Lepisosteus oculatus: one gene and its partners. The protein of the gene in region 4 interacts with the protein of the main gene of each other region in a biochemical or structural test. Links are inferred from orthologs where the notes say so. Each region holds a gene or a part of one and is shown on either strand. Other genes may lie near its edges.

Region 1 (7,056 bases), on a different chromosome or scaffold from region 4:
GTGCAAATCTTACACTACCCACACCTCAAAAAACACCATACCTACATTAAAGTATGGTGGTGGTAGCATCATGCTATGGGGCTGCTTTTCATCAGCAGGGACCGGGCATCTTGTTAAAATAGAAGGAAGAATGGATGGTACAAAATACAGGGAAATACTGCAAGAGAACCTGTTTCAGTCTGCTAGAAAACTGAAGCTTGGGAGACAGTTCATCTTTCAGCAGGACAATAAACCCAAACACAAAGCTAAAGTAACATTGGAGTGGCTCAAAAACAAAAAGGTGAATGTCTTAGAATGGCCCAGTCAAAGCCCTGATCTCAATCCAATTGAAAAACTGTGGCACTATTTGAAAATTGCGGTGTACAAGCGTCATCTGACTAACCTGAACAACTTGGAGCAAATCTTCCTGAAAGAATGGGCCAAAATCACTCCTGAACAGTGCACAAAGCTGGTACAAACTTACCTCAAAAGACTTAAAGCTGTTATTGCTGCAAAAGGCAAAAGGTGTCTCTACAAAATATTAAAATGTGGGGATTGAATACTTATGCAAACAGCATATTTCAGTTTTTTTTTCTTAAGAATGTTTGGCAACATAACATAATGTCACATTAAAATAACTACTTTTGAGTTTCAATGTTTTGAAATAAAAATATCACAGAGAACAAAATTTCAACGTAGGATTTGTAATTTGGTAAAATGAGAGAATTGGTCAAGGCTCTGAATACTTTTGCAAGGCACTGTAGTTTTATACATTGCGCAGTCAAAGTCTTGAATCTGACACACTGTGATCTGTCAATAGAAAGTTTTAAGGGAATCTGGGACCTGTTTGTTACCCACAATTGAGTAAGAAGGATGGGCCACATAGACTCAATATACAAAGATTTTAAAAACGACTTAAGTGTACATTTTAAACATGTCTATTTCTGCTCAAACAGCATTTCACAGGACATCTCCTTTAAGGGATGAACTCAATATCAACAGTCAAATGTGAATTCACAATCAAGACAGTTAAACAAACCTAACGATAAAATGACTGTGGATTTAATTAAGAACATACCATGAGAACATAAGAAAGGTTACAAACAGATTAGGCTATTTGGTCCATCTGTATTGTTTGCTTCTATTTTTCAAAGAAACTAGAGTATTATGGCTGGGTAGCTTGTTAGTCACTCCCACAAGTCTTTACATAAAGAAGTGCTTCTTGTTCTTGATTTTAAGTGCACTGCCCACAGTTTCCACTTGTAACCCTTGGTTTATGTTTCACTCTAAATTCTGAAGAAGTCCTTTGGGGTATCTTTATCAAACCTTAAAGGGATGTCACATGAAAATGGGTCCAAATTTAAGAACATACAGCAAACCCTCAGGGAAGGGGTGTCCATTATTGTTGAATGTCTAGTAAATTACAAATGACTTTTTCAGCCCCAAAACACACTATTATATGAGAAAAAAAACATATATACAGTATATATACACACTATATGCTTACTGGATCTTTTGACTTTTTTATCAACTGTAATCAGCAGTCCATGAAAATTGTTAATAAAGCCTTTGAATATACATAAGCAAGTTCTTTATTTCTGTCATAAACAAACTGTATAAAATTTGCTAAATCATTAGAAACACAAACCTATCGCAAGCAATTAACCTACCACAATAAACCACAGCTGATATTCTTGAATTTCAAACATATAGTATTTATTTGAACTTTGCTTTATTCTGTCATTTCAACATTATTGCAGGGAACATCAGAATTTTGGATTTTACCTATGTAATTCCCCTTTAGCAGATTTTGTCTGTTGAATCTGAAGTCCTTTACACCAAGGGTTTACTATAAATGTCTAGCTTTGTTACAAAAATATAATGTAAATTACTTCCATCAAAGTAATTAAAACATCTTTAACGGAAAACAGTACAAATTACCTTCTATTCAGTACTATAACAAAAGCAAAGGCCTGAATCAAAAGTACTTGCAGTTTCAAACAGGCGCGTTACACATTTAAATTAAGCTAGATAGATTCAACACAGACCTACAACACATATTAAAAGATAAGAATACCAAACATACCGATCAGAAAGTTATGGTTAGTAGAAACAACAACATTCTAAGAGACAGACAGGTTTAACAGTTTAGATCCAACTGAGATGTGAACATGTAAGTAGCAGTTACTCTGCAGTTATCTTCCTTTTCTTACCTGTAACGTCAACTGGATCTTCATCTCTGAGATGTTTTTCCTTTGCTCTCTTCTTACCCATTACTCTCCAGCAGGGTGACTATATGTGACAAAGAACAACTAAAAAGTTAAAAAGAAAATAAAGCTGGCTTTCGATTGCTCTATTTGCAAAATAACTCACGAGATCGATACAATACAATGATCACATACTGTTTCTCGTTACTTTTTTTCTAACAATATGCTGCAATACGGTTATGATACTCATTTTGGATGAACTAAATTGTCTACTGCTACAACTATGTCTGATGGGATAACTGCGCAAGAAAAACATTTCTAAGAAAGAAGAAACTAATATTCAGACGTATGTGTATATCACTTAACATGCACAAGAAGTATTATCAGAAATCATCTCCTGGGTTAGCTACAGTGCTCTCGTACTGTTCAGCGATAATCCCATTTCTCACTTCGTTATACCATCAACTTTATTACCGAGGTAGAACACACATGATAAGTATTTGAAGTACAAAAGCAGAAAACTGAGTGTTTTGTAACCTTACAACATCTTATATCATTACCTGCTTAAAATGATCAGTCACAGTAAGACTGAGATCCCCACTATAACCTCAATACTAGGTATATAGATTTCGCATGTACACTTTTGCTGGTAAATAAAAGTACTGTATGATCTTGACAGACAACTACTTAAACTAGAAAAATACAAATCCTTTGTACTAAATCTAACAGAAATAAAACACAAAAGCTAGCAAAACACCGGTATATTTACGCTGAGACCAGCATATGGTTTTACTTGCAGCAATACATGTAACGTGTAACGTGAGCCGCTTCCCATATCCGGGGTCATACTGATAGACAGAGCACGTGTTTCCTATGATCCCGGAATCAGTTCAACGTCAAAACGTGGACTTGTTTTGATTGTGTCTGGGAAATGTTAGTTACAGTGGCTCTAAAAATACATTTCCGCTGAGGTAATTCACAATTTTGAAAATCAAGTTCAACTTTGATATGTTTTATGACTTCTGCATAAAGCATAGAACCATGCCTTTAATTATATAATAACTGTGTTAACTGAAAAGGTATAAGAAGATAAAAACAGCATTAATACCGCAGTAAAGTTCTCAATGATAGTATGTATAATTTTGTCACAGGCACTGTTACGTTTTATTGGGTATAATTATCTTAGTATTTCACATTTCGTAATGTTTTAAACTTGAAACATATGTTAAAAATGATTTTGTATCTGCATAGTTATCGAATCTTCAAAACTGTATTTCTTTAGCGTCTTTAAATTAGCATTTGTAGTATAATATAATAGTATTATGACTAATACTAATAATACCATTCCCCTGAAACCTCAGATTTGCTAATTCTCCTGTTTCATGTATTAAAATCAAGTCGGTGTCTGTTTTTCTCTTATTGCAGATAATTTAGACATGGCTGGAATAGAAGAAGCAGGCAAACAGCTTTCTGAAATTGAGCTGCTGTTGAGCATGTTTCCTAGTCAGGAAGAGTTGGTCATTGATGACCAGCTGGCTTTAGCAGAGCTCAGAGACTATGTTGAAGGTAGAACAAATGCCATTCCCACTTCCAGGCCTCAGTTTACCATACAGCAAAAACTGGACATTTACAGTGAGAACCTGGTAAATATTGGTCACTGCAACATGAGACATTGTCTTCTTTCCGCTTGCATAATTGTACCAATAAGGAACAAGTAGACACCAGCTTGTTTTCACCTTAAACCTGTTAGTGTACAGCGGTTAAAGCACAATTTGCAAGTAGCCCTTGATCGTACAGTTGTCACTGATCCATTTTGAGAAAATATTTGCTGACTGAAATAAATGTTGTTAGCCATGGTTAATATTCTAGGTACATAACTGTTAAATCTGCATCTAGCTTCATTTTCATGGCAGAAAATATCCTAAAGGCAAGGAGCAGGGTACAGACTTTCATGGGAATTAAAGAGGATGGCACTAACATGCATTACTGTTGGGTAGCCCTGGTCCTGGAGAGACACAACCCAGCAGGTTATATTGGGTCAGCGTCCAGTCATGTTTTGAGCACTTCAAACAATTTTATTATGATATACCAATAAAGTTTGAGAAATTCTAACTGACTAAGTGGTTGAGAAATTTTGGGAAATGAAAATGCTAACACCTCATAACTCACAAGAACCACAGTTGTAAATTCCTGAATCAGTTAGTTTATTGAGTTGATCAAAATTATGCACTTTAGAAGTTTTTTCAAATGTGATTATTTAATGGTGACCTATGAGACCTGCTGGACTGTAGCTCTTCAGGATCCTAGTTTACACATCCACTCTGAAAAGAGAATATAAGAAACACAAAGTTTCTGCATCTGAAGAAGGTTCCACAGCCGAAACATTCTGTTTCTTTTCTTCTCTCTACAGTATGGAATAAACCTTTACTTGTTCCTTTTCAGCCTATGCATGCTGAGGCAGCCTTTAATTCTTTCTACACATCCACCCTTTATCTTTCTGAAGTTTTGTTGTTAATAGAAACTCTTGCCTCTACCATGTTGGTAGATGGTTTTGCTGTAATGGCACGGAAAATATTCCATGGGCTGTTTCTTGTTGCAGGTGACTTTCTCAATCTCCTGCTCCTATCTTGTAACCTATCCCACAGTTCTACCAGAAATCACGGTCAGGTATGTATTGAAGAAAGGGGTGTTGAGTAAAGGATAAAAACTAAATCATGGTAATGCATACATAATAAGAAACAAGTACAAAAATGAAAGGTACAGAGTAGTAATATTATAATATACAGAGTGTGTGTATATATATATGTACTGTATTATATATTATAATATGCAGAGTAATATTATAACCATTCACCCTTACCCTTCCAACATTGTGCTTTCTTTTTAGGTCTTCAGAACTCAATAGGACACAACAGACTCAGTTACATACAGATCTAAATGCATACTTGAATGATACCTGCTGTGGGGACGTCTGTGTGTTGGCTGCGATTGAATGGGTTAAGGACAATGCTCATCTCTATATTAATAAAAACCCAACTTCAGCTCTGAAGAAGCAGGTGGATTCTTCGGTGGCAGAAAATATGTTTTCGAGGCTCTGGATTTACAGCCATCACATTTACAACAAGCAGAAGAGGAAGAATATTCTGGACTGGTCCAAAGAGCTGGGATTAACTGGGTTCAGCATGCCTGGGAAGCCTGGTGTCGTGTGTGTTGAAGGACCCCGGTCTGCTTGTGAGGAGTTTTGGGCAAGGTATAGTTAATCTTTTTAATTTATTTTTAAAGAGCCATTCACTAAAGATCTTAAGCCTTGTCCAAATCAATATTGTAATGTATAATGTAATCAATATTGATGCGTACTTGGTTTGTTGCTTGTGAACATTGTTTTGAATATGCATGCAAGGAGAGGAGGACTTGAAAGCAGCGTGAATTCCATAAAATAAACAAATCAGTGAGTTCTTGTTGCAGTTTTTTACATTTGGGGTATTTTTCTTATTTTCAATATTCCAACAAAATTGAAATCTCAGATAGTCCATCACCTTGACATAAAACCTTTATAGAAGTGTAGGAGAGATGACAGCCATGTTGATTATCTGCTTTTCTGTGTCACCCTGAGCCCCTTGGCACCTAAAGGAGCAGAAGCAAAAAGTGGTGGCCTGATGCGGCTCTTACTGATAACATGACAGGCAGCAGACATTAATAAGGAAATCCTAAAAGATCATAAAAATGTTACGTAATGCAGGGGTGATTTAATCCATGACTGAGGTACAACAGCCATTATGTGCCAGCTACCCTGCTCAGCACTCAGATTAGATAAAGACAGAGAACACAAATTACTTAACACAAAGGGAAACTTTAGGAGGAACATTAGGGTGGAATTTAACCAGGACATTGGTTAGTTCCCCTACTCTTTTGAATGTTTTCTGGGACAAAGTAGATGGGACTTCAGTTTAATGTCTCGTCTGAAATACAGCACCGCCTACTGCACAATGGCACCCAATCACCAATTGGATTCTGGTTTAAAAATTCTGCTTGCCCACAAAATTCACTTACTGTAGTAATTTCCTTTGAGCTCTCCCGTCCCAGTACTGACCAGACCCAGCCTTGCTTAGTAGAGATTTAACAAGACCAACCAAGAACACCTTGGCAAATACAAACCCATTTGACAGAATTCCACTTGGAAATAACATAGCCCAGAATCGAGAGGGGAGGAGCTGCACTGGACTAGCCTTCACTAGTTAAGCTGCTCAGAAGTCTTACATGACCAGTGATTTTGGACAGTTAGCTGTTACTTCTACCACACCAGAATTATGTCTCTTCATAGATAATGCAGAAGAAAGTGGGAATGATCCTTGCCGTCTTGAATCATTAACGTTATTTATTTCTAAATATATTTGTTTTAGCAGCAAATATTCTGGAAATGTGTGCATTTTACATGTATTTTTGCTTTCAGGTCAGTGAAATTACAGAGAATTTGGAAACCCCTTCTAGACTGAAGTGGTTTCATGACTTGGTAGCAACGCTCATCAGACCCATCGACTTGTACAAAATGGTTAACATTTTGTAATAAATGCTGAGAGGGTTCTTTTCTGTTCTTTATTTCCTAGGGTTAGGCGTTTGACGTGGCAAAGAATCATGATTCGCCACAGGGAAGACATTCCTCTGGACAGGGATGGCGTCGATACTCACGTAGAGCTTGATTTGCATCGTCGATTCACTGTGTTTGAGGAAGCGATATTTGATGCACATGGAAACAGGGGAAATCACATGGACCTTGGGCAGCTCTATCATTTTTTGAGTGAGAAGGGCTGTGGTGATGTTTTTCAGCTTTACTTTGGAATTGAAGGAAGGTAGTTAATGTTAAACACTTTGT
Region 2 (7,911 bases), on a different chromosome or scaffold from region 4:
GCTTGGGACTCTGTGTCTGTTGGGGTTGGGGCAAAAAAGATGAGCCGCCCTGCAAGGTCACTGGCAAAGTTTTGAGATTCACAGCTCCTCCTGCCCCCACTGTCTGCTCCCGGGGTATGAAGGGAAGGTGGGGTGGAGGCACTCTCCATGTCAGAGTCTCTACAAGCTCGAGGTGTCCCCTCAAGGTCTCTTTCCATCTCAGGCACTGGGGTCCTCCGAACCTCACAAACATCACTGCTGAGTTTGCGTGGGTTCTTTTGAACCCCATTCAGAGATTCAAACCCTCTATTTACTTCTAAAGCCTCGTTTTTCTCAGGAAGGCCAGTCTGGCAAGAGCCCTTTCCTGCGGAGACTGCAAGCAAAGGCTGCTGCGGTTGGCAGGGTGCCTCAAAACTGCACTCAAAAGTTAATGAGGGGAACTTGCAGACGCTGGTTTTCTTGGCCCGCACTAGCGAGCTCCTCCCCAGCACACTCCTCTGGTGCGTGAAGCTGCCTGACTGCTGTCTTTTCCTCCGCCGCGCCGGGAAGTGCAACTGCATGGTGGTGTCAAACTGAGAAGTCACCTGCCAGTGCAGACGAAAAGACAACAGATGTGTAACATCAGCGGCATCTCGCTAGTGTACAGAATGCTGACGCTGAAAGTGGAAAACTACTTTATGCTTTGAATACACTTTTTATTTAGCATTCATGGTGGTAGAGCAATTATTCCCCCCTTCTCTGGGGTCATTCCATGACAAATCACTTTTAACTCAGATAAAAAAAAAGCTATCTATGGTGTTTATGTTAATATTGTAAAAGATCACGATTTAAAATTGGATGTGCAGCTAGACTGGATCACCAGTTCTGACATTTCAAAGAGTAAGATTAAGAATCTGTGCATACAAACATTCCTATTCAGGAATATACAGAAAGTACCACATTGATGGCATTAAAATCATGATGTCTAACCATGAAAGAAAATCCCCCCCCCCCATGTTAAAGACAACTCAGAAAAAAGGAAGAATAAAGCTTAAGATGTTCTCTAAACAATTCATTTCAGTTTTGATCTTCAAGATCATGAAATATTTGTTCTTCTACAAATATCTTTTATGGAATTTGATGTTTGACCATAACTATTCTAGGGTAGTCCACTCCCAATATTTAATAATTTAGCTAAAGTCTTTGTGAATTGTGAACCATTAATTAAGCATGCCAGATAATACTCTGGTTCCTGGATGTTGTCAAATTGCTCTGAATTTCAAACTATTATCAATCAAGCAGAAACTGACTTCCTGTATTTGCACCTCTGCCTGATTAAGTCAGTGTTTTTTAGCATACAAGTGTACAAGATACCATGAAATAAATCAGCCAGAAGTGCCAATACTGTGAATTTGAATTACACAAAGCTGTTGTGCATGACTCTCCTACCAGCAACACCGGTTTAATATTCCACTGTACTGTACTAATACAGTGAATAATCAAGAACTTTGTCTCACCTTTCTCAAATTACCCCACACAGAAAATAATGGTCCTCCTGCAATGTCATTACTTTGGATCACAAGCTTTGGTTCAATTAAAACACTTCCAATAGATTCAGATAAACAGCTATGGACTAATTGACTCTCTGTGCTATCTTGACAGTTTCTGAGTAAGACCATTCATGCCCAGTGTACTATAGCACCAATTACTGCTATAGACTAGCAGATGTGAAGGCAAATGAATCTGCTGTTTTTCTCACTAAACTAATTTTCACCTCTGTGGGATGTCAGCCTGGAGTCACTGACAAGAGAGTTGTGTATACTGGGATCCTTCTGACAAGCTGCACTGGTAAATTCAGATTTCAGACTTCATACCAATCTTATGAACACTTTATAGAAAAGATAAGGATTGTGAAGCCCTGCCATTTGTGTACTCTGATTCTTATTCCAGTCGCACCTCAAACACTTCACCTAACCGAGTTCTTAATTAAATTAATAATTTGCTCAATTAGACCTCTTTCAACTGTTTGTGACAATTCTGATCTTGACATCTGTAAACATTTAAGAGAACAATAAATCAGCTTAAATCAGTAAGTTATCAATCCAACAAAGAATTCAATTAAGTCATTGGGAAATCAGTTTAAACACAAGACACTCCTGTGTTGAAGGACCAGGATGAATAGCCCTTCTTAAGGCCAAAAGTATTTTACTAACAACATCATCCAATTGGTAGTGGTTTCATTAATAGCTGTGAAAACTGCATTTGAATTTTGTGCTTTTATGAAAGAGTACGATACAGTGCTCTCCAAATGTATTGGGACAGGAATATAAAAACTATTTTTGCTTTACAGTAAAACAATTAGCATTTGTAATCATGAAATGAATATGAATTATAGGTGCAATATAATATTTAAGTGTGTTTAAGTTTTGGGTAATTACATGCATACTTATTTATTATATTAGATGAAAACATACTCCACGTTCAACCTAGGGATTTCAATTGACCCTAAATACTGGAACACATTCGCTTAGGTAAATTTCGCTCAGCAGCGCCTTTATTTCTTGAGGTGCCTCAAGCGATGGGGGATGCAAACACATGTGTTGGTGAACTTCTACCGCTGCACTATCGAGAGCGTCCTCACCAACGGGATCACCGTGTGGTATGGCAACACCTCTTCGCGAGAAAGAAAGGCACTGCAGAGAATGGTCAATATGGCCCAGAAGATCATCGGCTGCGGTCTCACCGAGATTAAACAGCTCTATGAGGACCGCTGCCGTGGTAGAATTCTGGCCATCACAGAGGACAGTCACCACCCAGGGCATGAGCTCTTCACCCCACTGCCCTCAGGCAAGAGATATAAGAGCATACGGACACTTACCACTAGATTCTTCAATAGCTTCTATCCACAAACAGTGAGACTGGCGAACACATTTAGCCATCCCCCTCGGACCACACCTACACCATCACCATCTACCTCATTGTAATTTATTAATTGTACGTCTCCAGTCATTGTTTACACGTCTGTATTGTTTATATTCAAACTGTCTGCATGTTTACTTGCACATTGTCTATTGTTTGTTTGTACATTGTCTTGATGCACTGTTTGCACTTTGTTTTGTTTTTTACACTTGTTTTATAATCGAGAGACTTTCTGTAAGTAAGAATTCCATTGTACCAGTACCGGTTACATATGGCAATAAAGTTCAAGTTCAAGTTCAAGTTCAGTATAAAAGTCCGTATTTGGCTGCATATCCATCTGAGCCCACAACTGCATGAAGCTTGTGAGCCACTGAGCTCACCAACCTCTTTAATTATCTGAGATCCTTTACATAGCTTTCACAGCAAATATTTTGAATTGTTAGCCGTTTTTGGAGTGTTCAATTTTACATGTTTTGTGCAGTATGTTAAATCATGCTCAGTTGAATTTAAATCTCATCCCCTGTCTTCTCTCCCGATGAACTCCTTAGTTACACTATCGATATCTTTTGGGTCATTGTCATCCTGCACAGTGAAGCCTTGCGCAGTACAGTATTTGTTCTACATATGCTGTAAAAAATGCTTCTGTACACTTCAGAATTCATTCTACTGCTGCCATAGTTGCAATTTACGATTGACTGTAAAGAACAAGTAACAAATTTGACTTTACTTTGCCAATACTTTTGGGGACACTGTATATAAAATCCATGTATTAAAATAATGTTTTAAGAACAAGCATTTTAATAGTTTAATCGGAATTAAAGTTCAGATGAATTAGCCGCTACCAAACAAACATGCTAAAGGGTCTTAGGTCTTTTGTTCACAAAGTAACTTTGGGATGTTATATTAAATAATTGTTAACAATATACAGATCAACATTCTTAACAATTAGTAATAAAACAAATCAGTCAATACATCATTCACGTATGGTTTCATTACCCATTGCTCGCTGGTTGTGTTCTGTTCGCATGGCTGAGCTACAACTCGTAATGGGTTCACAGCCGATTTGATAGGAGTCCCGTATTGGTGTTTGGCTCCATCTATTGGACGTTCCTCGAACAGCAGCGGAGGCTTCTTCAATTGGGTGTAGCTGTTCTTCCCTTTACGGGGCATCAGAGGCCAGCCATGATCGCCCTTTGCATTAAAGAATGGATAGTTATATTCATTATTTATTAAAAATGGTGTAAATACCAATTAATACAACTTGAAGTAAATAGGCTGGTTAAGGGATTATTATAAAATTTAAAAAATATTTTGTAAAAAAGCGCAAAATGTACTCCCTTTAAATGACAAAAGGACTCATGACTTACAAAATATACAATACTTAGGCTATAAACACAAAAATGTTTAGATTTGTGGGCATTCTTCAGTAGGCAGGTAATTGATTTTAGTAAAACATGGCAATAAGATTAAAGTAAATAGAGAATCGCCGGAGCACTCTGGACAATAAAGTACTAATCACTAATGATGTGTGTGCAGATCTCGATTTTCAAAGTCACTTAATTTCAGTAATATTATACTGGAAATAAGGAAGTAGGTATTGATGCCAGATGACGAGTGTAAGTGGGCCGAAAGAACTACTATAGTGAACATAATTGACAGTCACTCCACTTCCAGTTTCGGAATATAAAAACTACTAAACTCGCATCATTTTAGTGTTCGTGAAAGCTTGATAACGAATTAAACTAAAATACAATATTTGATAACCTTAGTCTGACACGCATACAACTAAAGGCTGAATACTCACGGCTCTATTGTCCAAAAAAGTATTCCCATGTATCAAACGATATCCACATTTCCGTTTCTAATTTTTCTTGTTTGATGTCCCTGTCTTGTGTGACACAGTCCAAAGTGAAACCTGCCAGTCGCGCTGATTGGTCCGCTAAGGAATCGCGAATCGGCTTTCCCTGTCTCTCATTGGATGGTATCAGATCACATGACCGGAACGAACGTACCAGCGCCAAAATTCAAAATCCTACTGTGTCTGAATTAGAAAAAATTCAGGCTCGATATTTTTTAAAATGGTTGCGTAGAAACGTGTTGGAAATAATAACTATTTAATCAGTCTACAAAGGAATTGTTGCGTTTCGGCGCTGGAATCATAACTTCAAAAAGAACAGTCTTCTAATATGAAGGTAAGCTTTAAGTCATTGTGTAACTCGTAACGCTTTGTTATAAAATAATATGGAGGTCACACATTGCTCAGCGTAACAGATAATATACATATAGAAATTATGTTTTGGGGAAAAAATCACACTGAAAAAGATCCTGAAAGTTAACATCACATTCGTCTGTGTTTTCTGAAAAAGAAACTGTCTACTATAATGTGATGAGCGCGTACGCGTCTTAAGAACAAATAAAGGTTACAAATGAAAGCCACAAATAGTGTAAAGTAGGGTATTTTAACTTTTTTTCCGTTGCACAAACAAGTAGTAAACAATTACTGAATCAATTGAGAAACACAAACTAGAGGACACAAGTGAAGCTAAGGGGAAGTAGAACAGGAAGCACTTTTTACACAAACGTGTTGTGTGGGTCTGTAACAAGCCATTATGTTGAAGGTGATACACTAGCTTCGTTCAAGAAACCGCTTCACGAGATCCCGGGATCAATTAACTCCAATTCAAGCAATAAAACGAACTAATTATATAAGTATCTCAAGCAGATGGCTTTCTCTAGCTTGTCACAAGTCTTATGTTTTTAAAGTATCCTGCTCTCAACTCAGGGTTTGTTAAGGTGGTTCGTTGTCCTAGAAAGTACAGCAAACTGGGTAAAGCGGAGACATGACGGTTGTAAACCTCTCGACCACTGAATGATGGGTAGCCACACCTCTGTATATGTATTATTGCGATGTAATATACAATATTTTTAAAGCAAAACATGAGAATTTCGTTCACGTTTCCTGTGCGCGTCAGACCCTGCAACATTACTGCCGTTTTTATCGAGGACTTGCAGTAGGGGAGTCCGAAGGCATTTTGAATTGTAACTTCTTTAGGACAATTTGTGATGTCCATAAATAGAATCCGGCTGTAATCTAAACAAAAATATCTACTATTTTAAGAATTAATACGTCCAGATATTTAATCGGCACCCGATATTTTTGTACATAATAAGGAAACGCAGTCCCAAAATCAGTTTAACGGCTTTTCTGTTCCAGAAGACTGCACGTCACAAGAGAGGTGACATTTGAAACAGAATTTCAATCGTTACTAAAAGTCGCTTGTTGATTTCAATTTGAACGTGTCCTGTGACTAAATCAATCGAGGTTGTTTTCGTTTAATTAGCATCGTTCGGTTGGACTGATCTGTGCTCTCCTGGAAGTTCTTGTCCAAGTAATGATGCCTTTTGCTTAAAGCGCACCGAAAGACAAAGATAAGCAACGTCTCAGACCAATAGAACAGGAAATATACCCAGTGCGCAGCAGCTTTTCAGATATAGTACCGACAGTGGAGACAGGTAGCCTAGTCTTAAATTGTTCTTTTTGAAAGTTACTTGTTCAAGTCATTTTGTTGTTCTCACCAAATAGAATTTAAATACCAGATGCATTGTTTAACACTGTGATCGTAAATTGTTAGGATTAATTTTTAAATATTGCATTTTCTTACTTTTGATATGCACTCCCTTTTATTTAGTGAGAATGATTATTTGATTAATATCTGATTATGATGATTGAATATTAAGTCGTTCATTTAATTTATCCTGCGCCGTGTTTTACGAGTAGGTAAATCGCTGTGGGATTATGGGATTGCGAATTATTTGACACTTCCATGAAGTTCCGTGCACAAATTAAAGTCATTGTGCTGTTCTTAGAGGGGACAGCTTCATGGAGCTCCTCATTGTGTGTTTGTATTTTTGCAATCTACATTTATCGCACTAATTGCATATGATTGTATTCCAGATATAATAAAGTTAAATATGATCTTGATTTTGACATCTTTATTCTTTCTCAGGATTAGGATTTTAGAAGTGAAAAAAACTCCATATCTAAAGATTTTGTCTGATTGGAAGCCTATTTAATTGGCTGTGCTAAATGCCTTTTTTATTTTTTCAGAAAAATAAATTTTGCAGAGAGATTTTCAACATCAATACTGCCTGATCAGGATGAAAGAGAGCCCAAGGAGGCCCTTAATCCTTAAAAGGAGGAAGCTTGCCCTCTCTAAGAAGGAGGAAGAGGTTGGCAAGGATGAGCCTGATGGAGCAAAGCAGAAGTCAGACGCCTGCAGTGGACAGCAGTTCCCTGCCGGAATCCGGATCATGGATCACCCCTCCTTGCCCAACACACAAGTGGTAGTGATTCCAAAAACAGCCAATCTTCAGAGTGTCATAGGGGCCCTCACTGCCAAAGGGAAGGAATGTGGTGCACAAGGGCCCAATAAATTCATCCTGCTGAGCAGTGGAGGTGGAATAGAGGATGGGCCTGTATCCTCCAAACAAAGCCGTATTGTTGCTCCTGAGGGAGATGGGATTTCCCCAGTCCCCCTAGGTCCGTGTGGGCAGCTAGAGGTGATTAAAGAGCATCAGGGGGATGAGAAAAATCAGTCCACATCAATCATGCCTCTAACAGAAATAAAACCTAGTAAGTATTTCTTGGTGCAAGCTGTCAGTCAGCATGTTTCTTTTCTACAGCAGCAGCTGTTCTGTGATTGGGATTTCTTTCTCGGGCAGGAGAAAAAATTGCCAAGTTGTAGGGTTAAATAAAATAAGTGCCGGTTACTGTTTGAAGGTAATTTTGTGGAATTGAGTTAGTCATTATATACATGTAATGTTGAAAATCAATATTAAATCAAAACTGTTTTTTTTTCTAATGGATTTATTGGTCTGGGAAACTTCATTTATTGCCATATTAAACCGGTTCACTTTAAATATATTGCTTTCACCATGCTCTCAAACTAGGGAAACTTAAAGAGAACAGGTAAAGGTTTATTCCATGCTGAAAAGAAAAAGGTTTTGGCTGTGGAGCCTTCTTCTGGTGACGGA
Region 3 (7,757 bases), on a different chromosome or scaffold from region 4:
CAGACAGGCTACCACCATTGCAGTATTCATTCTGGATTAGCATGTGGTCATCTTCTGCCCAGGCAGAGTAGTACCTGACCACGTGGGGATGCTGTCCAAGCACTGCATGAGCATAGACCTCCCGGAGAGCATTCTGCCTGGAAACAGAACCCAAAACTTTCTCACACTGCAATCAGAGATCTCTGCTTATTTTCAAAACACTTAACAAAAAAAAACATTTGCACTTACTCGTCAACAGAACCGGCCAGTGGCTTCTTGGAGCGTTTTATGGCATAGATACAGCCGTCCAGTCTTTTCACGCACTTGAACACCGAACCAAACTCTCCAGACCCAATCTTCTCCAGCTCATGGAACTCCGTTGCATATCTGGACTTCATGTTGCTTTCAGTTATAGTAATCCTCTGTTAAAACAAAAACTTTAAGTACCACATTCTTTTACCCCAAAGGCTAATCTGGATAATCGGTTGCTCAGGTGTATGTACCTACCTTAGACGGGGGAAAGAGCTCATCTTCAAATTCTCCATCGCTTGCTTCCATATCCTCCCCGCAGGAACTAAACCGAAAAAAAAACTCGCAGTTAGTGAGAGCAGACGGCACTAGAGGGCAGCACTTCCGCTCTGGAGAGCACGTGGTGACTCAGGCGACACGTGCTCCGGTCGTGTATTTGCCAACCGATTATAACGAAGCCCGGTACACAAAACTAACCCATGAGTCATGTTCCACACACCCCTTCAAATGGGAGACCAAGTAACTGTAAAAGCAATGATTTTCTTCCAAGTTGCAATGCACAGTGCAACTACCAGTTAACTTTTAGAGCCAAGTTTCCAAATCAAAGGCCATCGATTTCAGAATGGGCTGATGTCCGGTGAAGCTCTGTGCAGGCGCCCGGGGAGTCTTACTCGTTCCAGTGGGTCCGCTTCCTGCTGTTCTTCTGCAGGGCGGCGGACTGGATGAGCAGGGAGTCCGGCGTGAAGGGGTTGATGTTGATGTGCGGCGGCTGCTGGCTCTTGCCCCCGGAGGCGCCCTTGCTGGGGGGCTCCGCGGTCCTGAAGAGAGCCCCTCGGCGGCGCACGGACGCCGAGCCCAGGGCGCTGGCTTTGGACAGCAGGCTCTGCGAGTACAGGATAAATACAGCCAGGACATGAAACAGACCATCCCGGGGACTCGTTTCAAGACGCCCCCAAAATACAGCCCCCCGTTCACTCCTACAGACCTATCTCGTTTCTGCCCCTAAGACATGCGCTAGCCTATTAGCAGCAACCATCAAATTCCAACAGCAGTGGGTGAAAGGGGCGATTTAATAAGTCTGCAGACAGCTGTGTATTTACACTTGCTGAGACATGCCTGGGATCGCATGAATCACGCGATCGAGACCAATTTCAGCCTTTAACCGCAGATATTTATGGAGCTTTTATAACTCGCTTAAGTAGGTCACCTGGACAAGGCTGACTCGGCAAAAAAAAAACTGCAACAAAGCGAGCCTTTCACAAATGTCTGCTAGAGCTTGAATCGCGCTGGGATTCCTGAACTAACTGATGAGACCCGTGTTTGGTGCTGGTGTTAAAAACCGTCTAGCAAAAAAAAAAAAGACGACTTTAGCGAAGTAATTTCCCCCTGATGTGCCGCAGCTAGATTTTGCAGCCCCGGTCCGACACATGAAACTCTCTCGTTAGTACCCAAGTGAACAAGTCTGACTTTAAAAAAAAAAGGAGACTGAGATGTCCAAAAAAGAAAGCGTCCGACCGCTGTTAGCCAACACAGCGCGGAGCTGTGTAATCTGGGAAGTCGTCTCTCTACAGGCTGCGGGGGTCTCTTCCCGAGCCCGGGCGAGCGACAAGCCGGCCGCTCGAATCAAAACAACCGGAGCCCCCGGCCCGGCCGCTCCGCCCGAGAGCGCTCACCTTGGGCGTGTGCGGCGTGTCGAAGAGCCGCAGCTTCCTGAAGGTTTTGTGGGGAGGCGTGTCGGGACAGTCCGGGACGGGAGAGCTGGAGCCCTCTCGCTCCTCCCGGCCGTAGGCGCCCCCCGGGGAAGACCCCCGGCAGGCCGAGGAGCTCTTCCTGGGGGACGGGGACTCCATCAGGAAGGAGCCGGGGGACTTCACGGGAGACGGCGATCCCAGCCCCTCCTCGTCCCAGAAATCCTCCTCCTCCCCGTGGAGGCGTCGGGGGCTGTCCCCCGGCTCCTCGCTCCTCTTCTTCGCCGCTCTCTGCCGGGGCTGCACCGGCGAGTCCAGCTCCTGGAAAGCCGAGTCCGCCCCCGTGCTGTTGCCGTCCTCCTCCACGGGGTCGTCTTCCCCGTCGCTGGGCGAAAACTGCAGCTTCTGCCGGATGGGCCCCATCTTCGGAGAGGCAGCGCGCAAGCTCATCTCCCCCTGCACCGCGCAAAAAGGCCCGGTGGGTCTCAGCCAGGCACACAGGAGTTAAGACAAACACACAGCTGGCCGCCGATCCGAGCCGGAATGCATATGGTGGCTCACAAGAACACCGGGCCCGAGGAGACCCTCCCCGGGCGATCAGAGTCCGCGGCGCGGCTGGAAGGGGGTCTCAGCGGCGGCGCCGGGTCACCGAGCTTCCCCACACAACCGGAGCCCTGTCACCCCGAGGCACCCAGCGGACTCGGACGCGTCAGCGCGGCGCTGGTCCAGTCCCTCTTCCCCTGGGTCTCCCACCGGCGAGCCCGCAGGCGGAGCTTCGCTACCCTGCCTGGGCCGGACACGGCTAGTGGAAAATGGCTGCACGCACGGCTCCCACTCCTGCTCGCTGCGCTACACCAGGCTGTTCGAGGAAGCCTCCTCTTTTCCCTTTCGTTCTCCTCTGGAAGATAGTAAGCTGATCAGCTTTCCGGAGAACAGTCACTTGTCAAACAAAACCCCCCAAAAAAGTTGTGTGTTTTTTTTTTTGCCGCTACCCCGACATGCGTTTGTTTACTGAATTAATTCGAATCACTCCTCTCCGCAGCCCACTACGCGGCTTCCCGCGACCGTTGGTCAAATGACTCCCGTCCCAGCCAATCAGCGCCCGAGCTGCAAGTTTGAAATCTGGGCGGTGCAGCGCTTGGACACGGGCAGTTACGTCACCGACCCAGGGGCTGGACACTGCACGTCATTTTGGCGCGAACATTTCGCGATCTTGTTGGTATGTAGGGGGAGGGGGTTATTCTTGTAGTTTTGCGCAGGGTGGTTTTATTGAAGGCTGCATTTCCGATTGTAATGATGAGGATGTCCGAGCCAACGAGCCGTTGTTTCGGTTACAAGAACTGCTCTAAAATAAATTATTGAATTTATGATGTATCTGGATACTGTCTTTTAGAGCGTCATCGAAGGCTCTTCAAATCAGTCCCTTTAGGAAGTGTTAAGGAAATATTTGTAGCAGATTATATAGTTGTTGCTGGACTGGAGCAAGCTTTAAATCGATGTAGGATGTTTATTATTGATCTAATGTTCTTGCTCTTGATAGAATCACTACAGTCAATAAGAATGATCATTAGGAGTAATGTACATGAGGAGACTAATCTTGTCTCGGTGTGTAAGGACGATGAGCGTTCAAAACCTTTTCGTATGTTTTATGAGTCTAACCCTGTATGGGACTTCGTGATATGACACAAGGAAAGGTGCAATTTAAAAGAGAAAAAAAGTATTCAAACAACAACTCCCATGGAGGTTTAAATATTAATTGAAAAATATTTCAATATACTCTTGTAGTCCTCAAATTAAAATTTAAGCGTGATACGAGCAACTGCCGTAGAGCCAGATTCTTAAGACAAACGTGAAGTCATGTTACAGGAGGCTGTAAATGGAGATTTCTTTTTCAGGGACCGCCTTTTTATAAATTACTCTTGTTTTATCCTAAACGTTTTAAGATTAATTGGTAATTATCTAAAAATAACGAAACACTTAATACAATTAACCAAAGTGTAAATTTGGAAACATTTCGCGAACGTCCTTAAAAAAAAGTTCTGGGGCAATACGATGACTGGCAACTGTTTTAGTTTTTTCACAGTATAAAATACTACATTGTGTTCTGAATATTTAATTCAAATAATTGTAACTATTAAAAAAATACACAAATGAAGAGACTACTGAAAAGGGTAATTGAAGATAAAAGTCTTCTATTCACACGCCCTAATTTAGGCATTTACATTTAAGTTTCGGAAGGGCGTTGTGATTGAAATGTCTTTTGTACCTTTTTTCCGCCACAGGTGGCTCTTTAAACTATGATGTCACCGCATTACATCATCGGGCGTTTCTGCCTTGTGTCTGGCTTTCGAGCGTTCAGTTTGCTAAGGCGTTTGTTTCGACATTTATGGCCGTCTTGCCTGTGAGCGAGATAACTCGGATAAGCAGTGTTGATCTTACTATCTACTTCACTTGATTAGCTCCAACTTTTAATCGGATTTGACTTCTTAAACCCGTGTTAAATCGTATCTTCGATTCTTCTGATATTGCGCAAGTTGCGCTTAGGGAAGCCTTTTATGGTGGTGAATATGATTTAAAGGAGAGCAAAGGTAAATTCTAGTTTAAAAATTGTCGTTTTTGTAGAAGCAATTCATTTTCACAGTTTTTGAGAGGTTATTCTTACTCTCTGAAGTACAGCACAAATGTTACCAACATGTTCTCTGTTCAACCTCAAACTTTTGATTGTAAAAATGGTCAATTGCTTCCTGCCCAGCAGAAATTTAATCAAATATTAAACTTCTATACACATAATGATTTTTTAAACACACTGCAGTTTTTAACATAAATATACACACAAATGGAACAAATTATACATAAAGTGCTGCAGTGAAAAATCTAAAAAACCTGAGTTATCACAAAAAGTATAGCAAGTGCCTCTTTAGGTTTGATCTGACTTTGTGGTTTAGGGTGTTCAATTATAGTTCTCTTCTTAAGGACAATAATTCTATAAGAATTATTATTCAAACAACCTTAACTAGGAACTGACCCAAAGCAAGGTTTCAGATGGATTGTACTGCTTTAATATTGCACAACCAAGAATTTATACATAATCAAATGTAAAATAGAGAAATTTAAACCATTAGCAGGTTATATATACACAGTACAGTGACTATAACTCCCAAAACATGTAATTGAAAGAAAGTGGAAATCTGTAGCTCCAAACGCATTCATGTCCTGAGTACAATGTGGCATACAAAAGAGCACGATTTTCATAAAGAACTTCTGGGATTTAATCCATCCTTCTAGATTAGAGAATTGAACATTTCCGATCGACAGGAAAGTGATCAATTATGCCCCCCCCCCCCCTATTTAAAATATATATACACAAAATCTACAAGAGAAATTCATGGTTTTGACCTTTAATATTAATAGCGGTGAGCAAGCTAGTTGCATTTTTTGCTTTTTTAATTTTCTTCTTCCTGAACAGTCTCTGATAGCATTTTTTGTGGAAGCATTGGAAGGCAATGCAAGTTGTGTATTAATCATCCATTCCGGGATTTTCTCCTTGCTGTATTCTTGAGGCTATTCTAATGGCTTCTTCCAGTGATGGTTGTTCACTCAGCTAAAAGATAAAAAGGGTAATCATATACAAATGCTGACTTCTGAAAAGAAAGATTTCAAGTCTTATATACAAGACAGTTTGATTAAGGCTATACTTGTACTTTAGTCATTTGTTATACTTAACAAGTTTTTAAAAAATAACAAAGAAAACTAAAATATGAGCATTTTAAATATGACTGATAAGGTATAGTAGGTTTAATCTAAACTACAAAGGAACAAGTAATAGGTTTATTCCGTGCTGAAAAAAAAGAAGAAGAAAGAAAACACAACGTTTCGGCCATGGAGCCTTCTTCGGGTGTAGTTAATTTAAACTAGAAATACTGATTGTTAGGAGACAAAATATCGACACAGAAGCATCAAATAAAAAACGCAGATCACCCCTTATCTGTAAAACTTAAATTTGATAATGATAAACTGCAGCAGACTAATCTGTCTCTAGCTGAATGATCTGAATGTAACAAGACTCCATAAACAAATCTCCCCTAGGGGACAATAAAGCTTTAATTGAATTGAATAATAATCAAGTCTAGTCCTACAAGGTTTATTTACACAGGCTATTGTGTAACAGACTTCATTTGCATCAAAGAGTGATAAGTGAAAAGCTTGTAATATAGAAAAAAAATCTTTAAATTTGGTGAAACTTAATTTGATATACGTTTGGCACATTTCTTTGCAAAATGTGTTCAAAACCAGTAATATTCATAATTAGTGTTTATAAAGAAATAGTTTCTGCGCTTTACATTGGATACAGTGGAAAATGTATTCACAGATTTATACCAAAAGCAAATAATGTATCCTGTTTCCTTCATCTTCCAGCCTTTTCACTACTTTAAGATATAGCAACATCTTGTCCTGTGTGAAAACGTATTAAATGAATACATATTTTAATTCCTGTTTTTATTCGTACTGGAGACAAGAAGTTAAAAATAAGGAGATGAGTTTTCCCAGAATCTGCAAGTAACAATTAAGAAAACAACTTTAAGACTTTTCTGAAAAGTCTGCATCCGTTAAGTGTTAGTTCTTGGGCCAAGTTTAAGGGCGCATATTTCTGGGTAATGTGATAAGCTTTCCAACTTCTTGTTTGTCAGTTTTAATGTGAAGCCATGTGTTATAAATCAGTTTAATGCAAGCCATCTTGGCAAGCAGAAGGCTGTGTTGAGACCTGAACACTATCCACATGCCAGTCTGCAGGCTGTTAGAATTATGGGCCACCATAACAGTTCGGAAAACACAGGCAATTATCCTGCTTCCTCCAGACTCTTCCTGCGACAGTAGAATTGTGTGGTCTGAGCAAAGTGAAAATCATGCGCACCGTGCTTTCACACCAGAGATGAAGAGTTTAAAATCCTACTTTATTTCTCAGCAGAACAAGAATCTGTGAATTCAGTCACTCGAACTGAATGAAGTAATAATGACACCACACATTCAGGGAACAAGCTAGTTCTTCAACGTCTTGAAAATGGCATGGAATGAACAGTTGCCTGCAGTCAGGGTGCGCTCCCTTGTGGGGAGTGTTGCTGGGATGTTTTCAGTCTCTTTCTAGTACCTGAACTGCGATCTGAGTGCCGTTCGATGTTGCCAGAAGTGTGACTGGGTGAGGGCTGCCCGATACCAGATGATGCTCATGATGTTCCTGGGTCATATCAGTCTGGGACGTTTGGAATGTGGCTAAATCTGGAGTCACTATAGCAACCTGAAAATAAAAGAAAAGCTCTGAGTCGGAAAGAAATGACTAAAATACACTCCTTATCCCTCTCCCAGAAAACGATGTGGACTGCAGTATTTTGAAAACACGGAGCCAGTCAGTCCTGTTATCTCTTTCCTTCTACTGAACAATCAACCTTCTATCAGAAGAGTACACAGAGACAATGAATTTGCTCTGAAAGACACCATTGTCCATTGTCAATGGCCAATCTATTGCCCGTCTGTGTATCACATGACACTCCAAATAAGATTGTTAATGTAAGCTTAGGGTTCACAATCTGAATTCTTTCTGTATCTGCCAACTAAATATAGAACTCTGGACATGTTTCTTAGCCATATTATGTTTTTTGAGGAATACTGAAAAGTTGGAAATACGTGATAACATTAGAAAAAGAAAACTTACTTGTCCTTCTGTCCCGTCTGCAGTTACCATAGTGACAGAATGTGTGCCTCCTGAAGCCAGCACTGCTTCGTGCGCTGGGACAGTGATGGTGGTGCCATCTTGTGTTACCATTGTGATAGTGTTCCCCAGGGCCT
Region 4 (7,837 bases):
TGACGTACATAACTTACTGTAATAAGACTTTGGTACAGAGAGAAAGGAAGGTTAAACCTTCACTCTCCCTTACCTCATGAGTGTAAACTCGCACCGGAATCCCAAAGGCTCTGGCAAGCCCAAAATCAGCCAGCTTTATTACTCCTTTATTGTCTATTAACAAGTTCTGAGGTTTCAGGTCTCTGTGAAGGACTCTTCTACAGTGGCAAAAGAGTATTCCTTGCAAAATCTGATACAGGTAGCTCTGGTGGAAACAAAAGAACAATAACTTATAAAAACATTGGAAAATGTTAACTTTAAAGAACAAATGAAAACATACTGCATACAATTAGAAAAACAAGGATCCATACAAAGTAGTGCCTTCCTCTAACATTGAAATCAAGCACAAGAAATCACAAAGAGCTGTGATTACACTATTACTGCCTAGTTTTTTTTTTAATTAAGACTACCCTTCCAAGCTGCCATGAATTGTGCCATACCTTAACCAGCATCGCGTCCATGTACTGACCAGAAGGTATAGAGTCCAGGTATTTCTTTAAGTCCATTGAAAGAAACTCAAAGATGAGGTAAAGCCTTGACTCTTGCATGAGGACATCCAGAAGGCTGGGGAAACGAAAATCTAGTGAATCCTCTCGGAGTAGGACAGAAAAGCTCTCAATATTTCATTACTACTGATTTAATAACATATTGCATAACACTATACAGGATGGACAGAAAGGATTAGAAAAACAAGAATCCTGGTTGTACACATTCCGATACTTATCACTGACACTTAAGGGTCTGATTAAGTAACAACTGAAAAAACAAAGCAGGAGGGTGTGTATGTGGGGCACAATCAATTTGAAGAACTCCACTTACAGTACATGCGTACAATAAGGGTGTTCTATTCCAATGTCTTGTGTTAATGTTAATTAAACAGTGTGCAGCAGTTGCTCAGGGTACTGGAGTCTTAACTGGTAGGCTTTGGAGTCAAATCCAAAATGAGACGCTGTGGTTGGAGACTTAAGCAAGTTATTTCACCCAATTGCTTCAGTAAAATGCCCAGCTCTATAAACGGGTCCAAATGCAAACTGACGTCTCAGCCAGATTATAGCTTAGCTAAAGCTTTTATCCAGGAGGCCTAAAATTTGGAATATTGGATGTTTTACCACAGTAATCTGAGCAGAGTACTTTGAACAGAGTACAGAGAACCATACCACCTGGTTTGAACTGTTTTACAACTGCATGCGTTAACTTACCAAACCACGTTGGGATGCTGGAGCTCTTTGAGCAGGGAGATCTCCCTGACAGCTGTGCTGGGAACTCCCTCTTCCTCACTCTCCAGTCTGATCTTTTTCATGGCCACCACCTGCCCAGTGGTCTTGTGCCGACCCTTGTAAACCACCCCATAGGTACCTGCACAAATTAACAAAACACACAACTTCAGTGTCTTGGGAAGTGCCAGTGAGCCTTCAGGCCCAAACATCCCTCTTGAAGAAAGAAGCATGGTGAACAAGACCATTAAAACCATAGCATTATACAAAACAAAACTGTTTTTCCTACAGTTTGCAAACCAAAAGCACAGTTTTGGTTGAGCTTGCACCTGTTTTTCCAGGGACAGAATGTCTGCATACACTTACCCTCTCCAATTTTCTCAATCTTCACATAATCATCCATTTTGCCTGAAAGAAAATATACACAGAACACCGTTTTACTCTGGACATAAGTCGCTCACCGGTTTGTCTGTTCTATAACATTGCTATGCTGTGTGAAGAAGTGTCGCTTTCTATCGTTTGATAAACGCAGTTTCATTGTACTTTCCAAAACATAGGACATTTTACCGAAACTGGTTTCACCAGCTGCTACTGTTACCGAAAATAACACTAGGCGATTTGGTAACCGTATTATCTCAAAACAATGGCGTTGAAAACCTCTTATACAAAGGATTTTGATGACAAAAACGCCAGACTGTAAATACAAAGACTCTGACGTCTGTGATTCGTCACACTGGAAACTATTTCACAGCCGCTAAACCGAAGTGTTTGCTTGTGTAGGTGGCGCTCTCCAGCAGTGATTATATGAAAAAGGGCTTACCGGTCGTGCCCTGACAACTTACACTACTTGGCTAAATGTCATTTTTGAGATTGGAAGTTGGAAACGTCTGTATTTCAAGCAAATAATAGCATGACAAGAGTAAAGGTACTATTTTTAAATGTAAACGTGTCTTGAAGCGTCATGCAGACCTAGCCTGTCCGTGTGCATGACCATGTTCCCTTCCACAACGAGACGAACCACGTTCCTGCCTTTTCGCTGCCGATAAGAGGCGATAATAATTCCTTTAATAAGACTATTCAACAAGCCAAACCTACGATGCGAAACTGTCGAACACTAGGTGACAGCTCGTTATCTTATATACAAAAAATAATTACCGTTAATAATTACCGTGTGCAACGCCTGTTAGCACGGTCCTGCATCTTTGTTTTTATCTAGACAGAATTAATAGCAAATGATTCTCAATTCTGTCTAGTTTGCCTTTGTCACGTATCGATTATGGCCTGTAAAAAGCAGACCCAGAACCTGCTCATGACATTTTTAACGAGCCGGTTACCCGTGTACTGTACATTATCACCAAATACAGCCTGGGCCTAGTCCTACCATCGGCGCTTCGGCTAGACAGTTACAGAACCGCTCCTCTCAAGAAATATAATCCGGTGCCCTTCCATGCTCTCCAAAGATGCATGCATATATAAAAACTGTTTCACACTATTTTAAATTGTTCACACTTCGGGATCACCCGAAATCGTATCGGGTCGTTTTTTTAATGCTAACCCATTTCTTAAATTCCCCTTCCTCACACACTTCTGCATTAAGATTATATAAAGGGAAAAACAAATAAACAGTACAATAAAAGTTGGTAAAGAACGCACTCACTCCCAAGGCTGTAACTCCTGCGCCGCTCTCACTGGACTCAGCAGTCCGGGGGAAAACAGCAGCTTTGGGCTTTCAAACTAGCCGCGCCGCTGCCTTTCAAATCCAAGCAATCGGGCAGCTCGATTACTTTCAAAAGAGCCAATCGGGAGGCGGATGTCTTAGGGGCGGGAGAACGACTTTAAAGCGCGGCGGAAGAGGATGAGCAAAAAAAAAAGCAGCGGGCGGGCCCGGTTGGAAACCACACAGTGTTTCCAGGATTTTTGGTTTCTTATATCGTTTGCGGGTGGTAGATGTTTTTTTGTGCACGGTACTTTCCAGGTAAACCTTCACTTCTCCATGTATTTTTTTAATGATACATTTCACTATACACTATAATCATTTTTTATTGCTTTTTTATTTGCATGTAGTGGTTGGGGAAATGATTAAAAAAGGATACGAGTATGTTTAGACGGATATTTTCTTAGGCTTCATATACAGTATAACTTTTAGTATCATTAAAGGGCTTACTTAAATTAACATGGAAATGCTATCAATAATGTTTGAATAAATGTTATAGAGCCGCGACAACACTTTAAAGGACAGAAAACCACAGTTAATGACATTTTGCACACAACCTTCTTGTGAATGTGTTGACAAACTGTACTTTTTCCTCTAAATTATTAATAGTATTTGCATTTCTCTCTTGTGCAGGGTTCATTGCATTCTTGGCAACGAAATTCCTCTGTTAGCGATGGAAATTGGAGACGGAACATTTGTTTTCCAATTTGAACCGGAATCTTATCATTTCACCTTGTTGGCTCTAAGTAAAAGGTGATTACATTAGAAATATAAATTTATTTCGGTTTTTAACTTGGTTTCTTTTTTGTGTGCAAATTAACCCGTAACGACTTTTCAAAGTAAAGCTCAGCAAGTTGCGTTGAAGCCCATTCCTTCTTCGTATAACCATTTAATCTCACAATGCAGCCCTGTTCTGGGAACAGAACCGTGATTTATCAAAAGGCAACTCGGGCCCTACCGGTTATTTCATGTAAACAGTAGTTTTCAGATTCAAAACCATATTGACACCCTCTTCTGGCCAAAGTGTCAGGTTACAGACAGAGGTATATTTAAATTGTATTAATTAAAATTACCTGCAGACTAAAATCATGCTTAGTTGGTGTATATAGACGTTAAGTGTGCTAATAGTTGAAAACAATGCAATCTGACATTGTTTTTAATTGAGGTGTTGAAAGTGCGGGCATTTATATGCAAGATTGTGACAGTGGTATTGGGAAGGGCATATTGTATCAAATGTTAAATACAATTATTTCCGCATGGCTTTTATAAATGTATACTTATTCATTAAACACTTAATACAATAACACTTAGTATCAGAAAAAAATCATTCAATATAATCATGGTGTCATTTTATGCTTCTGAACGCTGCAGTAGTATTATCGCTGTGTTTTCTATTATCTAAAGAGCAACAGTCGGCGAGGTCTTCAGCCTATGAGTGCAGTAACCTTGGTGCCGCACCCTAACCGAGTCTGCGGTGAAGTTAGTACAGCGGGCGGTTTGTAGCCTTAATGGCACTGCCACTGTCGCCATCTCAATAGGCTCTGATCAGACCGCCTTAGTCAAGTTGCACAGCAAGTGGACTTTACCTGTGTGACTCGGCTGCGCAGCGAGCAAAACTTTCCTGTGTGGGACTCCGAGACAGCGCGCCGCAGGGGGGGTCGTGCGGGGCTTTGGAACAGTCGAAAGCTCCGTCTCATCAACGAGTTAAAACAACTTTTTAAAGGTTTATGGGTTTTGCTGTGCAGGAAGCAATATTGCTGCACCGCCACCACCCCCTTAAAAAAACGAGATTTCAAATTTGTCCGGTCTGGATAAAGCTTCAGCAACATGGCCTCCACGCCTATTGGAGGTGGTGAAAGCGATACTGCACAGGTGAGGATACATTTTGTTCAGAAGTGTAAAGCAACCGAGCCTTCGCGATTTAGTCTTGTTTTGCGGCACATGGATTGATATCAATTCTCGCCCGCAGTTTCCCACTTGTAAACACATGTCATTAAATAAGTAAGTGTACAGGTTGGTCGAAGTGTCCACACTTTATTGAAGTGCGAAGTCTTTAAGAAGAACGCCTTGTGATTATTAAACAGCATGGTATTTAATTGCATTGACTGCACGGCTCAATTAGCTGCAGGTAATACATTTCGTTCTTCGGGGACACGCTTACAAATTCAGTATACCTGACAGTTACAGTACTTCTGGGTGTTGCCGTTGATTGGGGTTCGGGTAAAGCAGCAGGATTAGATTGGTGTCGACGCTGGTAACGTGAACGTGGAATGTTTTTAGACCACCTGTGTTTGGACTGAACTCTGAAGCTGAATATAGTTTTATTGCAAGTAAATGATTAATCCTTTAGGTGGAAAGTGCAAAGGCTTTCATTTTAATGAGATTGAATTGCGCCAAATGTCATCTTTGGCAGTCATCTTTTTTTTTTGCATAAACAAAAACAAAGTAGGAAAGTACAGTCCTGGGTGTCTTGAAACAATAGCTTTTAAAGCTTTGGAATCGTACTAAACACGGAAACTGACATGTTGTTGCATTCTTGACTTTTAACCAGAAAAAAAGGTTTATTAAACTGAAGTATGGGCTCTTGTTTTAATTCAGCATGGTGCTGGCCTGAACTGTTGTCATGATGAAATACCATTTTTCAGTAATCATTAGTTTTCCATTATGACAATAATGAGATTGTTTTTATTGTGAGGTAGTGCCTCAAGTTTTTTCTGTGATGGTAATGGACATGTTAATGCTTACTATTGAAGGTAATTAAAAATTCTTGTGTGCATTTTCCCTCATAGTTGATGGCAGTTGCCCAATAATTTCAGAACTTTTTTATCCACATCATGGTAGTGGTAGTGTATCCAATTAAGACGGACATTTTCCCTTATAAAGTGCTGAATCCACTTGCAAAATGCCGGGAAGCAGTGCAAGTATAGTGCACCCATAAAAATGCATTAGTTTTTTCAAGGAATATCAAGGCTCAGACTGTACATACATAAGACAAGAAAAAATCCCTGATCCAGGCTGTTCTAGGTATATTGTTAGAAGGCATTAAGATGTCATTGAGACTTAGCAACTTCATTCAAAGACAAACTCGTTTAAAATGTTAATTGATGCTTTAAGATCTTCTAAACTCTTTTGTACTTGTCTTTTTATGTTACAGTCCACATTGTCATGACAGGAGCTCTTACGTATTTATTGATGGATTACTACAGCCATTTTAATTTCTAACTCCTGCACAGGGGAAAGCCACTGTGGCTAACAAGGCAGTAAAACTATTCAATAGGCAGGAAGGATCATGATGGGCTTGCTTCATTTTCATAATAAGTTGATAATTCCTGTCTTCACATTTTGTTTTACAGTAGTAAAATCATTCCTTGGACTTCAGACCTAATTGATTAGTCTACAAATTAAGTTATGTGAATTTTAGTTTGACTTCTCCTGCTTAGACCTCTTTGAAATCTGTCTTCTGTTACATATAGCCATAATTGTGGAATTGAAACTGCTGTATTCAGAGGATGTTATATCGGTTATCTGTTATTACACATACCTATAACAAAACTGTCAGGATGCATTTTCATTCCAGCTATTGTCAACTTTTGTGTCGGTATAAGAGTAATGGCTTTACAAGAGTCCTCTACCATTCTGCTCTTTCTGTAGAAGGTGTAATTAGAATTTTACTTAGGCATAAAGTTCAACAGCTTTGGGTTGGGATAATGCTGACAAAATATAGGCTGACAGACTATACAAAATGTACATTTACATTTTGTAATTTTCCTACAGGTTTCCAGAATTTGTCATTTTGGTGTCATTCATAAAAAGGAAAGGGAATTTGCACCTTTGCTATATTATTTGTAGGCCATATAGTAAATGTATTTGCATAAAACCTTTCATCTTACAACCTGTATAAACCATCCCATCTGTGTAAATAGTGGGTAGTTTAATACTAACTCTGATCGGTAAATATTGACACATGTAAAGCAGTTTTCAGTGTACATTCAATTGCTATACACAGTATAAATTGTTCTTACTGTGACTCTTACTGTTATTGTAATGATTAAAAACCAGGATATGTTGGACTTACAAAAAACAAATAATATGAAAAGAAAATTGCAGATAGACCAAGTAGTGGTCACAAAAACACTTAATTTCAAGATCTCATTTCTTTCAGATGATGGATGCTGTGAATTTACTGGAGCTGTTTGCTAGGAGTACTTATTCATGTAGGCTTAGACACACACCCTCTGTCTCCCAAAATAAAGAAGGCAGTGGCATTCAGATAGCATTAGTCTCCTTTTTACTGTTCCTTTATCAGATGCCTTGTTGGAACCTACAATAACATTTTTTTTTTGTCTTTTAGATGTACATTGAAAGACTGATTTAAGGGGTGGGAGTAAGATGTGAGTTTGCTTTTATGTCAGCTAAAATCCAAAACTAAGCTCCCTGGAGATTTGGCTCATTCGGTTTGTTTATATATTTAATTTACTTTCCAGGTTTTTCTCCAAGGGCAGTTGACTTTAAGGATAAGGATGTCCTCAGGTCATATTTTCTATATGGTGGCCTGAGGTTACTTAATATAAATGTCAATAGTGAATTATCTAAAATTATGTGAAATAGTGGTTATGAAACAAACCCACAGTGTTAAACTTACACTTGTTTCTTTAAAGCAAAATGCCTGAAAGGTTTTAAAAGGTGCTGGATTATGCAAACTTATTTTTCAATGGTATGTGTAAGTCAAGGTTGAAAAAATAATTCATGAAATAGCCTGTATTATTAACTATTAGGTACTTAAAAGGAGAAATAATCCGTAAACTACATTAAACGTGGAACAAGTAATAGTTTAATTCCATGCTGAAAAGAGAAGAAAGAAAACACAATG

The links.
Region 1: of the proteins of cdk1 (region 4) and usp16, one has a biochemical effect on the other in vitro, tested with the Homo sapiens proteins (3 studies listed by BioGRID). The link is inferred for Lepisosteus oculatus from reciprocal best matches to the Homo sapiens genes CDK1 and USP16.
Region 2: of the proteins of cdk1 (region 4) and foxm1, one has a biochemical effect on the other in vitro, tested with the Homo sapiens proteins (2 studies listed by BioGRID). The link is inferred for Lepisosteus oculatus from reciprocal best matches to the Homo sapiens genes CDK1 and FOXM1.
Region 3: of the proteins of cdk1 (region 4) and wee1, one has a biochemical effect on the other in vitro, tested with the Homo sapiens proteins (5 studies listed by BioGRID, with this or other methods). The link is inferred for Lepisosteus oculatus from reciprocal best matches to the Homo sapiens genes CDK1 and WEE1.

The regions. Positions count from the first base shown.
Region 1 is NC_090700.1:19,387,269-19,394,324, reverse strand, and holds the start of usp16 (ubiquitin carboxyl-terminal hydrolase 16), read right to left. Parts: upstream 3,013-7,056; 5' UTR 2,747-3,012; intron 2,292-2,746; 5' UTR 2,254-2,291; coding exon 2,193-2,253; intron 1-2,192. Other genes in the region: rwdd2b (RWD domain-containing protein 2B), read left to right, coding at 3,623-3,829, 4,786-4,853, 5,074-5,436, 6,791-7,037. UniProt on the Homo sapiens protein: Specifically deubiquitinates 'Lys-120' of histone H2A (H2AK119Ub), a specific tag for epigenetic transcriptional repression, thereby acting as a coactivator.
Region 2 is NC_090702.1:9,289,166-9,297,076, reverse strand, and holds the start of foxm1 (forkhead box protein M1), read left to right. Parts: upstream 1-4,910; 5' UTR 4,911-5,069; intron 5,070-6,114; exon of another isoform or gene 6,115-6,390; intron 6,391-6,985; 5' UTR 6,986-7,035; coding exon 7,036-7,510; intron 7,511-7,911. Other genes in the region: rhno1 (RAD9, HUS1, RAD1-interacting nuclear orphan protein 1), read right to left, coding at 1-563, 3,874-4,047. UniProt on the Homo sapiens protein: Transcription factor regulating the expression of cell cycle genes essential for DNA replication and mitosis. Plays a role in the control of cell proliferation. Also plays a role in DNA break repair, participating in the DNA damage checkpoint response.
Region 3 is NC_090716.1:9,577,767-9,585,523, forward strand, and holds the start of wee1 (wee1-like protein kinase), read right to left. Parts: upstream 3,016-7,757; 5' UTR 2,367-3,015; coding exon 1,902-2,366; intron 1,112-1,901; coding exon 900-1,111; intron 554-899; coding exon 487-553; intron 402-486; coding exon 229-401; intron 138-228; coding exon 1-137. Other genes in the region: znf143b (zinc finger protein 143), read right to left, coding at 5,434-5,517, 7,063-7,209, 7,624-7,757. UniProt on the Homo sapiens protein: Acts as a negative regulator of entry into mitosis (G2 to M transition) by protecting the nucleus from cytoplasmically activated cyclin B1-complexed CDK1 before the onset of mitosis by mediating phosphorylation of CDK1 on 'Tyr-15'.
Region 4 is NC_090699.1:23,136,646-23,144,482, reverse strand, and holds the start of cdk1 (cyclin-dependent kinase 1), read right to left. Parts: upstream 3,014-7,837; 5' UTR 2,911-3,013; exon of another isoform or gene 2,907-2,910; intron 1,662-2,906; 5' UTR 1,657-1,661; coding exon 1,620-1,656; intron 1,396-1,619; coding exon 1,239-1,395; intron 604-1,238; coding exon 480-603; intron 245-479; coding exon 74-244; intron 1-73. UniProt on the Homo sapiens protein: Plays a key role in the control of the eukaryotic cell cycle by modulating the centrosome cycle as well as mitotic onset; promotes G2-M transition via association with multiple interphase cyclins.